Linked DNA regions of Drosophila melanogaster. The gene in region 3 interacts genetically with the main gene of each other region. Each region holds a gene or a part of one and is shown on either strand. Other genes may lie near its edges.

Region 1 (3,836 bases), 1.3 Mb from region 3:
TTTTGTTATAATTTTGCAATTTGGGTTATGCAAATCACAAACCACAAAACACAAACAAATCAAATATTCTTTCAATTTCAGAACATGCTACGTTATTTTGATTAAAATGGATATCATCATAAATTGAGAGCTTGATATCTTTATATATATTTACCTCTGTAGCAAATGCCAAGGAGTCCATGAATCCTCCCTGCATGGACAGCGAGGCTCCAGTGAAAATGGAGGAAAACAGGTTGACGCCGCACATCATCTGCAACGGAGTCATGCCGTAGCTCTTGAAGAGCGATCCCTGCCAATTGGCAGTGAAGCTGTCGAAGACCATGTACATGGAGAGCAGGAAAATGCCCGTGAGCGTGGTCACTCCGCTGGCCTTGCTGCTGTCCGAGGAGCCGCTCATGAAGAAGATCATGCCCAGCGATATGAGCAGGGCCGTCACATACTCGTAACTCTCGTACTTTGCCTTAGACATGATTTTGCCCATCAGCATAACGGGTATAATCTTACACGATTTGGCCAGCACCTGGGTGGGAAAGTTGACAAACTTCAGGGCCTCGTACTGGAACCATGCGCTCATTATATTCGAGAAGGAGGCATAGGAGTATTTGTACAGAGGTGCACGGTGTCGCACAGGTGAGGGCTGCCATTGTAGATAGGCCAGCGCCACGAGAAAGGCCAGCAGACGATTGGAAAACACCAGGAACTGAGAGTCCTTAAACTTGGCACTTTCTCCAGTGAAGTTCAGATAGTTTTGAGTCATTATCTTCTCCTGCAGTACACCCCAGGTAAGATAGGAGATCATCAGGCCGCCAAAGCACCATAATAGTTGCACGGCCTCCTGGGAACTCGTTCGCTTTGGTGCCGTAGAGGCTGCCGGACGATCCTTATCCGCGGTGCTGGTCCCTGCATCCAACTGATCGTATCCAGAGTTACCCGTGATACACATATTGATAGCCTTGTGCAGGAATGTCTTGTTGCCTCTTTCCAGGTAGTTAATCCTGCCGACATATTTGTAGATCAAGAAGCCCGGCACAAAGACGCAGCTATAACCAAAGCAATTGACCAGCAGCTTAAGGAACCATGCGTAGTCCGAGTTCTGCGACTCAACCAGCTGGGAAAGTGTAACATCCTGGTTGTAGTAGCCGCCTAGGGAGGCTCTCAGCAGATCCGAGAAGAAGTGTATGACAAGCAGGGTGACCACTATGAAGGAGCTGTTCAGATTTTAAGGGCGGGATTAGTTTAATTTGATTTTCAACTTCGTTGGGTTCTCACCATATAACAAGCTCTGGAACCCGACCCATCTTATTATAGGCGTACATGTGGCGCGTTTCGTTGGCTCTCTCGGTTTGAATGCCCGGTGCTGCTGACTCGACCGATTCTCCGATTCCTATTGAACCCGCGGGCGATAATCTATTACCAGTCAAGTGTCAAGAGTTCAACAACCGGCGCGGCTCTGAAAACTAGTTTTTGCATGATTCGCACACTCCAAATCGGCATCATCTAATTACCATATCCCGAGTTTGTTTACAATCGGCTGCCAGATGTGCGTGCGGTGCGTTTGGAGCTTCAAGATGTTCTGGACGTCCGGGGTACTAGGCTCGGGCAGCCGGCACTAGCTCTCAGGCCAGCTGCTCAAACATTCTGCAGCTATTTGGCCGCCAGCGAGTAGAACGAGATTGCCAAATATTTTATAATAGTAACCAATACGTTACCAGTATGACCGCGCCGATAACGATAGAAAATACCACACGGTCTAAAAGTAAATACCATTTGGGGTATTCCCTAATCTTTTGAATTATTTACCGTTAGGTTTCGGTCGTTTTTTTTTGTCAGCTGTTCTTTGTATGAAACGGATTAGTAATTTTATTTGTTGTTTTTGTGCATTTTTGCATATTAAAAGCCTTGAAACATGCCTTAAATCGTTAAAATAGATTATAAGAGGGATGGACTGTTTGTTAAAACCAATTGGAAAATTTGTAATCGCTGGTAATAACTATCGAGATAAGCTTAATTATCGCTGTTTTCTTTGTATCTAGTTATAAATAATAATAATAAAACTGGTAATTAACAAAAGTAAAAAGTTACTTAACTTATACAAAAATATTTAGTTATTGTATTCAATAATAAGATGGTAATAATAGATGGTAAGATAGTAATATTTTAATAATTGAATTTCATCACACATGCTGTTGCACGTTCCCACAACTTACAATCAAACGAAAGGAAATTCCGCTTGAGGTCTAATACCAGGCGCACATCAATTTCAGGAGGAGTGTGGAATGTGTGATTCAGAGGACACCCCTCACATAATGAACGTAATGAAATCGAAAGGACTCGTTGCCTGTCCATGTGTGCGTGTGTCTGTGCGTGCGCGAGGGGTGTGTCGCTTGACATTGCCATTCCTTGCTTTAGGGGTGGGTTTCGATGGCTGTGCAACCCCTAGTGCTGATGATTTGGCTATTTAAAAACCTAATAAAACAAATAATGAGAAGGTTTATTTAAAATCAAATCAATTTTACATGAATAATTATTTTGAGAAATCTTAATACAAAACTTGTGGAATTTAAAATTATCTGTTTATAAAATGTACATACCACTATATTAAAAAGTAATCAAATTTACTTCATCTGTCTACTTTCCAGCCAGAACTTATGCAGCACTGACAACCACTGGCACAGGAACACGATGGCACGGACTACGCCCCTGTGGATGGCAGGTCGCGATTCTGCCCGCCCAAGTGGGTGGGTCACAGGCACCGGCAACCTCCGAGTCCCGCGGAGCGTTTCAATTAGCGAGTACGGGCACTGGGTGGCGCCCAAAACGAGTACGGCACCGCCGGACTGGCTCTTTGTGATTTTTGCCAAGAACGCGGCCAAGAACCTCAGCAGCAGCAGCAGCGGCAGCACATTCAACTCGACAGACACGTGTCCATCAGCGGTTTAACCCTTCTTAAGGTAACGCCCAAGGATTACCAGGCGACCAGGAATCGCAGTGGGCAACCCAACGCCACTCGATGCCATTGCGCATGTCACCCCACTAGGGCGTGATCTACGGGGCGGAGTAAAGCGTACGGCCTGCCCCGCTGGCCCACCCACCGAGTGGGATGGGTTCTTTCACGTTACCATTGTCGAGGCCATTACATAACGGTAACATGCAGGAGCAGCGCTGCCGACGGGCCAAACCGGTTAACAGTTACGTCGTAACTAGGAGCAACCTTAGTGCACCAGGCGAACAGAACGGCCAGCGGGAGCGGCATTACTACGTCTTTACATTGATGCACCCACCCCGGTGGGTTTAACTCACAGTTGCGGCTAGAAATGTAGCACAAGTTATTAATTTTCATATTTAAATACGAATCCTGATGTTGAAAAGGTATCAGGTTTAAAATTTGGGGGGACAGCGCATTTCAAATTATAGATTTCTACCCTTTCGGGAATATATTTAGGAAGCATAGGACATCATAGCATATTTTTTGGCTTCTTTCAGTGAATTCTTATTAGTTAAGTTTGAGATTCGTATTATTTTTAAAGAAAATAATTATTATTACATTAATAAGTATATGTAGTTCGTTGCTGTGATTTTATTATCGTGAACACCACTGTTTGCGGCTGCTGGCAATTTAGGGGTTGCTCTTGCGGCTGCATTAAGTGCGCTACTTCTGCTCAAGGTCGCGTCCCACACACACACGCACACACGTACACACACACGAAATCGCGGTCCTGTGTCTTTGATTTCGCCCTTGTGAGAGTGGCAGCATCTCGCACACTCGACAGATTTCAGTGTGTGTACTCAGGCGACACGTGTATACGTCCGTCACATACTCGTACACATTCTTTCGT
Region 2 (3,600 bases), on a different chromosome or scaffold from region 3:
TGGAACAGCGAGCTGCTGATCCCGGTATGTTTTGCTCAATTTAAATCCGTTTCATTCAATTCCAAAATCGAGTTGTTAAAGTATTGTTCTCCAAACACTCGACTTGGGAATAGAACTTTGAGAAAGTCATCTGATTGTAATCTTTGGGATTATCTTGCAGAAATTATTTACAACTCACAAAATGCACACCAGCAACAGCAGCAACAACAGCAGCAGCAGCAGCAGCAGACACTGTCAAACAATTCCAATCAGTACAGGTGAGCACAACATTAAAATGATTCATTCAATGCGTGTCTTAAACATTTATTTTCGTATTTTCCAGTAGTGGCAGTCCGTACTACGTAACCAATCAAAGCTCTGGAGTGGCCACACCACAGACGCATGTGGAAGGAAGCGCAGCGAGCGGCGGCGGCGGAGGCGGCGGGGTTGGAGCTCTGCTTGCGCTAAAGAGGAACCATGTGATGGGCGGCGGGGCATCGCAGCATACGCTGCATCAGCAGCAGGCCGTGGCCCAGCAACAGCATTCAGAGATTATCTACGAGGAGTTGCCGACCGACTACAGCGGCCACATTGAGGCCAGCGAGGAGGAGTGCGTCACCACTGCCACCGATGCCACCGTGGCCAAGCGACCCAAGTATGTGTCGGAAGTGCTCTGATGCGTGCGGATCCAGAAGCACCGGCAGAACAAGGGCAAATAGTGAGGCCCATGGGTGTAAACGATTAGAAAGCAAAAACAAAAAAGTATCTCCATCTTGTATATTGAATTTGCCAATCAAAAACCTATACCTAAACCCCGAAATACAAATCAAATTAAATAGCCACACACGCAGAACTTAAGGAACATGAACGCACGCGAAGAGCAATGTATATGTAAATTGATATGGAACATTTTACAAATAGCAACTGTGAGATGATTGTGTTTGAAATGTTGGCCATGCAGCCGTTCAACGGCGGCGACTTATGCAAGCACACATTTTGAAAATTCGAAAACCCGATTCGAAGTAACGACTTTATCCCCTAGATCTGACGAATTCAATATGCTCGATGACGCTACTCTCTAAGTAATATAATAAATTTTAAGTTTACAACAAGGTAAAGCAGCAAACAAAGCAAAATTATCTAGATATATGCGATTGATTATTGTAATGATTGATGATTATGATGTTTAAGATGTTATAGCTATGTGACCGAATTGTGCGAGAAACGTGAAAAAAAATTTGGGGAAAATTAAGTAACAAGCAAGCAAACCACACAAGTAACAAACAAACAAACAAACAGGCGAATGAATAATATTACCTATCTACATACCTTTACCTATATCGATTTAAATATAATATATATATATATGTGTATATATATATATGTATATCTATATTAATATATATACAAATTATTAAAATACAAACAAAAACAAAAATGATGAAAATAAATAAGTAATATCTACAAATTTACGGATACAATAACAATATATAAAGATTGAAATGATAGCACATTATTTCTTATTAATGAAGAAAATCCCATTTAAGTGTTTGGACAAATTGTGTATTAAAAAAAAAAACAAAAATCAAATGTAAACTTTCTTGTTTCAATTTGTTAATATTTACCTGCTTTAATTGAATTAGATAGATGAATGAATACTAGTTGATACTAGTCAACAGGAGCGCAATCAAGTCTGGGCATTTATTGGGGAATTCCTGGATTCGTTTTTTATTTATACAAAACAAAGTAAATTGAATAGTTCCCGCCACTGTCATTGGAATAAATGGAAGGCTTCCAAGTGAACCACCCGTTCGTTGAACAGCTCAAAAAATTCAACGCCATTTGTGCAGTAAAATTGTTCCGTTTTCAAATTTTGTAATTTGTAGCTTTTATCCTTAAAAATGTAAATAAATGTCCCAATAAAACATGAGCTTGAAATATTACAAAGAAAAAATGCTTCCAGTAACGGCATAATAGTGTGAACGAAACTTTTGCACAACTGAACACTAACAGTAAAAGTTCCGCATGTATTTCTAAGCTGCTCTGCTACGGTCACACCATAGAAGATACCTGGAAAGTTCTCAACTTTTTTCGTTTTGATAAATTGATTAATTCATTCGAAATGGTGGTTAAAGCTGTCTGCGTAATTAACGGCGATGCCAAGGGCACGGTTTTCTTCGAACAGGAGGTGAGAATCCAAAATCATTTGAACTTCTCTGCTCGGCAAAATGTACGAAAAACAGAAGTTCTAAAGGTCAAATAGCCGGCTGCACCCGCGGCCCCCTCTTCCACTTCAATATGCTGCTTTAAATTCTGTCGAGCATTTTAATTAAGTCCGATTTGAGTTTACGCCTAGTCACCCAGCAAGTGCACCTTTATATTTATATAAGCCGCACCAAAATGCGCATATGTGTGTGCGCTCAAGTGCCTACAGCAAAGGTCACGAAATTGGTACTGGACATAAAAAGGAGTTAAGATATAAAGCTCACTTGTTCGTAAAGTATCGTTAAATATCAACAAATATTTGTTTTAGAATAAGCATTAGGAATATGGGAATAATTAGAATGATGCTGTTCATAATTAATTTGTACATCAAAGTCAAAGCAGCAATGTCAAGTGTCAAGTAAACGATTATAAACTTGATGATTACAGGTTATGTTTCAGTGCCGAGGAAATTTATGTTTTTAATCTATAAAGATAACCAAATGTTTACTTTGCTGCCTATAAATATTTCCGTTTAACGTGTGTCTATTAACAAATGTTATTTTCTATAATAACCTATTATCATATGAAGTTGGCCACGCTCGTTATCATAATCAGTGCTTCTGCTCACTATTATACACAACTTGTGTCTTATCAGTATTCGAGTATTATCTGAAGCGTTATAACCCAATCCCTTCATCCCGTCCACAGAGCAGCGGTACGCCCGTGAAGGTCTCCGGTGAGGTGTGCGGCCTGGCCAAGGGTCTGCACGGATTCCACGTGCACGAGTTCGGTGACAACACCAATGGCTGCATGTCGTCCGGACCGCACTTCAATCCGTATGGCAAGGAGCATGGCGCTCCCGTCGACGAGAATCGTCACCTGGGCGATCTGGGCAACATTGAGGCCACCGGCGACTGCCCCACCAAGGTCAACATCACCGACTCCAAGATTACGCTCTTCGGCGCCGACAGCATCATCGGACGCACCGTTGTCGTGCACGCCGATGCCGATGATCTTGGCCAGGGTGGACACGAGCTGAGCAAGTCAACGGGCAACGCTGGTGCCCGCATCGGGTGCGGCGTTATTGGCATTGCCAAGGTCTAAGCGATAATCTATTCCGATGTCGGCCACTGTGCTGATCTACTCTATTTAGCACTACCCACTGGAGATATACAAACGATATACATACTTCTAAACATAAATACATAGCCTGTGGTCTGTTAGTTGATACGCAACCTTTGAGGTTCAATAAATTGGTGTTTTGAAATTGCCCCATAAACAAAAGTTATAGTTTTCATTTGAGTTGAGATGGTAAGAATGAATATATCACTTGTTGCTCGACGAATTCGCAAGTAGAATCGGGTTATAGATTCGTATGAAATGAATTACATATTAGATGAGTGCAGAACCCAAAAA
Region 3 (3,836 bases):
TCCCACTGACCCAGTGGGCATGACATTGAAACGTGACGCAGCATCCAACCCCTGATGCCCACGCCTCCAGTCCAAAAAGTGGGTGAGGTCATGCTGCCAGGACACGAGTGTTTGCCAGTCTGGGCTGATGCAACCAATTCAGTCAGTGGGGGAATCTTCAGTCTTCTTTCTTTGCCAATTCTGTTGGCTATTTTTTTGGCATTGCGCAGGTGAAAATCAAGGCAATATATTTTTATCTGTTTGTTTGTAAAAAGCAATTAAAGTTTTCCCTTAATGTAAACTTGGAAATTTGTTCAAAGAACATACATATGTACATACTCTAAACAAATGCTTAATTCTTATGATTACCATTGCTTTTGAAAACATTGATCTTTTTATTAGCCATGCTTAAAGATTAGCAGCTCGCTTCAAAGTTAAACAAAGTTTATTATTGAAAGTATTGTATGTTACTTTTTTTTTATTATTTTAATAAGAATATACATTAATATAATATTATCATTTCTACCTTTTGCAATTCCTATTTGTATGACCGCAACTGTAACGGCATGTGAAGTGAAAAACATTGGCATGGTTGAGTTATCAACCATTGGACATGCGATAAGACAACACACCCAATCTATTGAATACTCTTAGTCAGACCTACGAGAAGACCACATACTCCTCATACTGACCGAGAATCCTGCGCTTGGGCCGCTGCAACGCCTCGTGGCCCAAGGTCAGACAGACGGGCTGATCCTTGTAGACGCCCTGCTCCTGGAGCACAGCGTGCGGAGCACATCGCCAGGGATCCTTGGTGGCTACCTGCCAGTCGAACAGTTGCTCGCGTAACTGCTTCAGGGTGCCATTGTACTTGGCCTTATCGGCCAGATTGAAACGCTCCAAGGGATCCGTCTTAATGTCGTACAGCTCCCATTCGGGTCGCTGGTAGTACTGCAACAAGGAACGATACCATGGCAGAGTTTGCTTCCTGAGAGTGGCATTCAATATCTGCTGGAATGTGGGTGAAGTGTAAAAGTCCTGGTCGATGGGGAAGTCTGCCCAGTAGTTGATATTATGGATAAGCTTGTAGCGCCTATTGCGCACCATTCTCATGGGATAGGCCATGGTCACCTCGTGGTAACTGTGACTACCGAACACCGAATCGCTCTCCTTGATCGGAGGTTCCTCCCGCAGTACTGGGAGTATCGATCTGCCAACGATTTTGGTGTCATTCGGTCGGGGAATCTGAAGAGCATCCATTACACTGGGGTATATATCCAAAAGACTGACCATGGCAGCAGTGGCTTCATGATGACGATCCTCCTTATTGGGAGAGCTAATGATCAGGGGCGATCGTATGCCGTGCTCGTAGAGATTGGTTCTGCCTCCGGGAAACGGTGGTCCATTGTCGGAGGTGTAGATCACGAGTGTCTGATCTGCCACGCCGGCTGCTTCTAGCTCCTTCAGCATTAGACCAACTCCCTGATCCAACCTCGAGATGGTCATGTACTGAGCAGCCAGCTCCTGACGCACTACATCCGTGTCGGGCAGCCAGGCGGGCACGTCCAGGTTACGCCAATCGTAGTAGATGGGCTTCCAGTCGGGTATGCTGCCCATTCCCTCCTCTCCGCTGCCCCAACGCTCACAGAATTCTCCAAACTGCGGGGTGATGTGGCCACAACGATGGGGATCATGGAAGCCGACCATCAGGAAGAAGGGTTTCTTTTCGTCCTTGGCCTGCTTGAGAAACTGCCTGGCATACTCCTTCATCCGGGTGATGTTTCTGCCAATCTGGTTGATGGAATGCTGCTCCTCTGTTTGCTCGAAATCGAAACGGAAATTGTTGGCGGCCCCAACATGTTTCTTGCCAATGATGCCGCTCAAGATCCGTCCGCCACTTTGATCACGGATTAAATTGGGCAGCGATCCGGTATCCGGAAGAACATTGAAGTTGTGCACGCCCTGATGGAGTCCATACATTCCGCTGGAGTGACCAGCCTGGCCGGTGAGCAACTGCGAGCGACTGGGACTGCAACTGCTTACCGAGGTGAAGGCGTTGTTGAAAAGCAATCCGCGTTTTGCCAGTGCGTCCAGATTGGGAGTTTGGCAGAATTTGTTCAGATAGGCGCCCGATTCGAAGCCGGCATCGTCAGCCAGAAGCAGCAGGACATTCTGCGGGCCAGCGGAGCAACCAGCAATTAGCCATAGTGTAAAAATCCACTGCAGAAATTGCATGTTGACATAAATCCAGTTCCAAATCCAAATTAAATATATTTGAGAGCGCAGAACAAAGCGATTCTTCAGTCGACGTCAGCGTACTGAAGTACGGCTCAAGAGAGCCGCATACTTTTAAGTGTCCACAAAGCCTCTCATTTCTCCGTTCTCCGTTTAAGACGCATTCAATTCCATTCCCAGTTCCAGTTTTAATCTCATCAACACAACAAATGCTCAGCGGGAGCGCGCCTAGGTACATTCACTTTGCCCGACTTTCTTTGGGAGCGGTTTGACTACAGTCAACACACCATACAGAGAACTAAAGTGTGAGGGTACTGTACAGTCATACGATTAAAGAATCATCATAAATATCAGTGAGATATATCTGAACAGTATAAAAAACAGCACTTCCACAAAAAAAATGTTTCATTTGAAATTTAAAATGCTTTAAAAACACTTTACATTTATAAACCATTAAAACACAGCCAATGAGCTGTTATAAAACATATGTACATTTAACTAGTATATATTCAACTGTATTGTATTGTAACATTTTGTGTACTTTGGTAAATTATAACCCGCCATATAATAATAAGCAGTATTCTTTTGTGACAGACATGGAAATAGATTTAAATCACCAAGAGTTTGGTTTGCATGACTCTGGCCATTAGGTGATCAACACGTTGTACTTTCTGATTTTATCTTGCGCCATGGAGAAGATAAAAGCAGGAACAGTGTCGCCAAATGGAACCACGTCAGGGTGTCAAGGCCAATCGCAAAGTGCAATGCGATTGTATGTTTTGAAAAATTATAAATCTACAAAACAAATGTTCGTTCTGCTTGTTTAGGCTTTTCTGTGTCGAAATGCGCAGTTTCTTCCAGCGACTAAAGAGTTTTCACATTGGGTGAGCTCATCTTATGTAAGTGGACAACCCCCAAAATGAATCATCGGCCGGCTAATTTAAGCCAGCCAGCCAGCTACAGTTTAAGCCACCCCCTTTTTGCCCTGCACCGGTGTGAAAATTTCGCCCAACATGTTTAACAACACTATGAGTTTTCCAAAAGTTGTGGCAACATGTTGCCAAGAGATTTTCGCAGTCTCTGGCAACAAGCCAACAATACGAATCAGCTGGGCCAGACTAAAACAGCTGTTGCAACGTGTGGCAAGTGTTGCATCAGCCAATCTCAACCAGCGAGAGAGAGTTTCACTCACGTGGAGAGAAAGAGTGCGAATCTGTATTGTTTGTTGTTGCTGCATGGCAGGCTGCCAAACCAGTTGCCCTATACCTTTTGGAGCGGACATAGGTGACATATGTAACCATAAATACTTACATTTACATTAAAAATCCTGTGAATGATCATATGAATATAAATGAATATTTAGGCGCGAAAAAATACGCAAAGTATTGAACTATACTTAAGTTTCGCGGCTTTTTATTAAATACCAGTTTATTAACCCTTTGTGAGCAAACATAGTTGCTATTACTTACAACCTTAATATCTACGTTTCTAAATTATCTGGGTGCAGAGTAAAATTTATTCTTTTTTTTTAGCTTCTCTTATCTATTGTAGCCAATTTAGACCGAAATGCTATCTGTGCAATTTTCAGACTGTCGCTAGCCAAATAATATGAACGGCTATGA

What was found.
Region 1: of Sgsh (region 3) and sll, changing one enhances a phenotype caused by changing the other (phenotypic enhancement), as found in Drosophila melanogaster (one study listed by BioGRID).
Region 2: of Sgsh (region 3) and Sod1, changing one enhances a phenotype caused by changing the other (phenotypic enhancement), as found in Drosophila melanogaster (one study listed by BioGRID).

The regions. Positions count from the first base shown.
Region 1 is NT_033777.3:17,603,999-17,607,834, reverse strand, and holds the start of sll (slalom), read right to left. Parts: upstream 1,730-3,836; 5' UTR 1,506-1,729; intron 1,458-1,505; exon of another isoform or gene 1,451-1,457; 5' UTR 1,317-1,450; coding exon 1,270-1,316; intron 1,209-1,269; coding exon 155-1,208; intron 1-154. UniProt on the Drosophila melanogaster protein: Mediates the transport of adenosine 3'-phospho 5'-phosphosulfate (PAPS), from cytosol into Golgi. PAPS is a universal sulfuryl donor for sulfation events that take place in the Golgi.
Region 2 is NT_037436.4:11,112,141-11,115,740, reverse strand, and holds Sod1 (superoxide dismutase 1), read left to right. Parts: upstream 1-2,000; 5' UTR 2,001-2,101; coding exon 2,102-2,167; intron 2,168-2,892; coding exon 2,893-3,288; 3' UTR 3,289-3,460; downstream 3,461-3,600. Other genes in the region: FoxK (forkhead box K), read left to right, coding at 1-24, 161-257, 323-656. UniProt on the Drosophila melanogaster protein: Destroys radicals which are normally produced within the cells and which are toxic to biological systems.
Region 3 is NT_033777.3:18,910,621-18,914,456, forward strand, and holds Sgsh (N-sulfoglucosamine sulfohydrolase), read right to left. Parts: upstream 2,303-3,836; 5' UTR 2,215-2,302; coding exon 640-2,214; 3' UTR 433-639; downstream 1-432.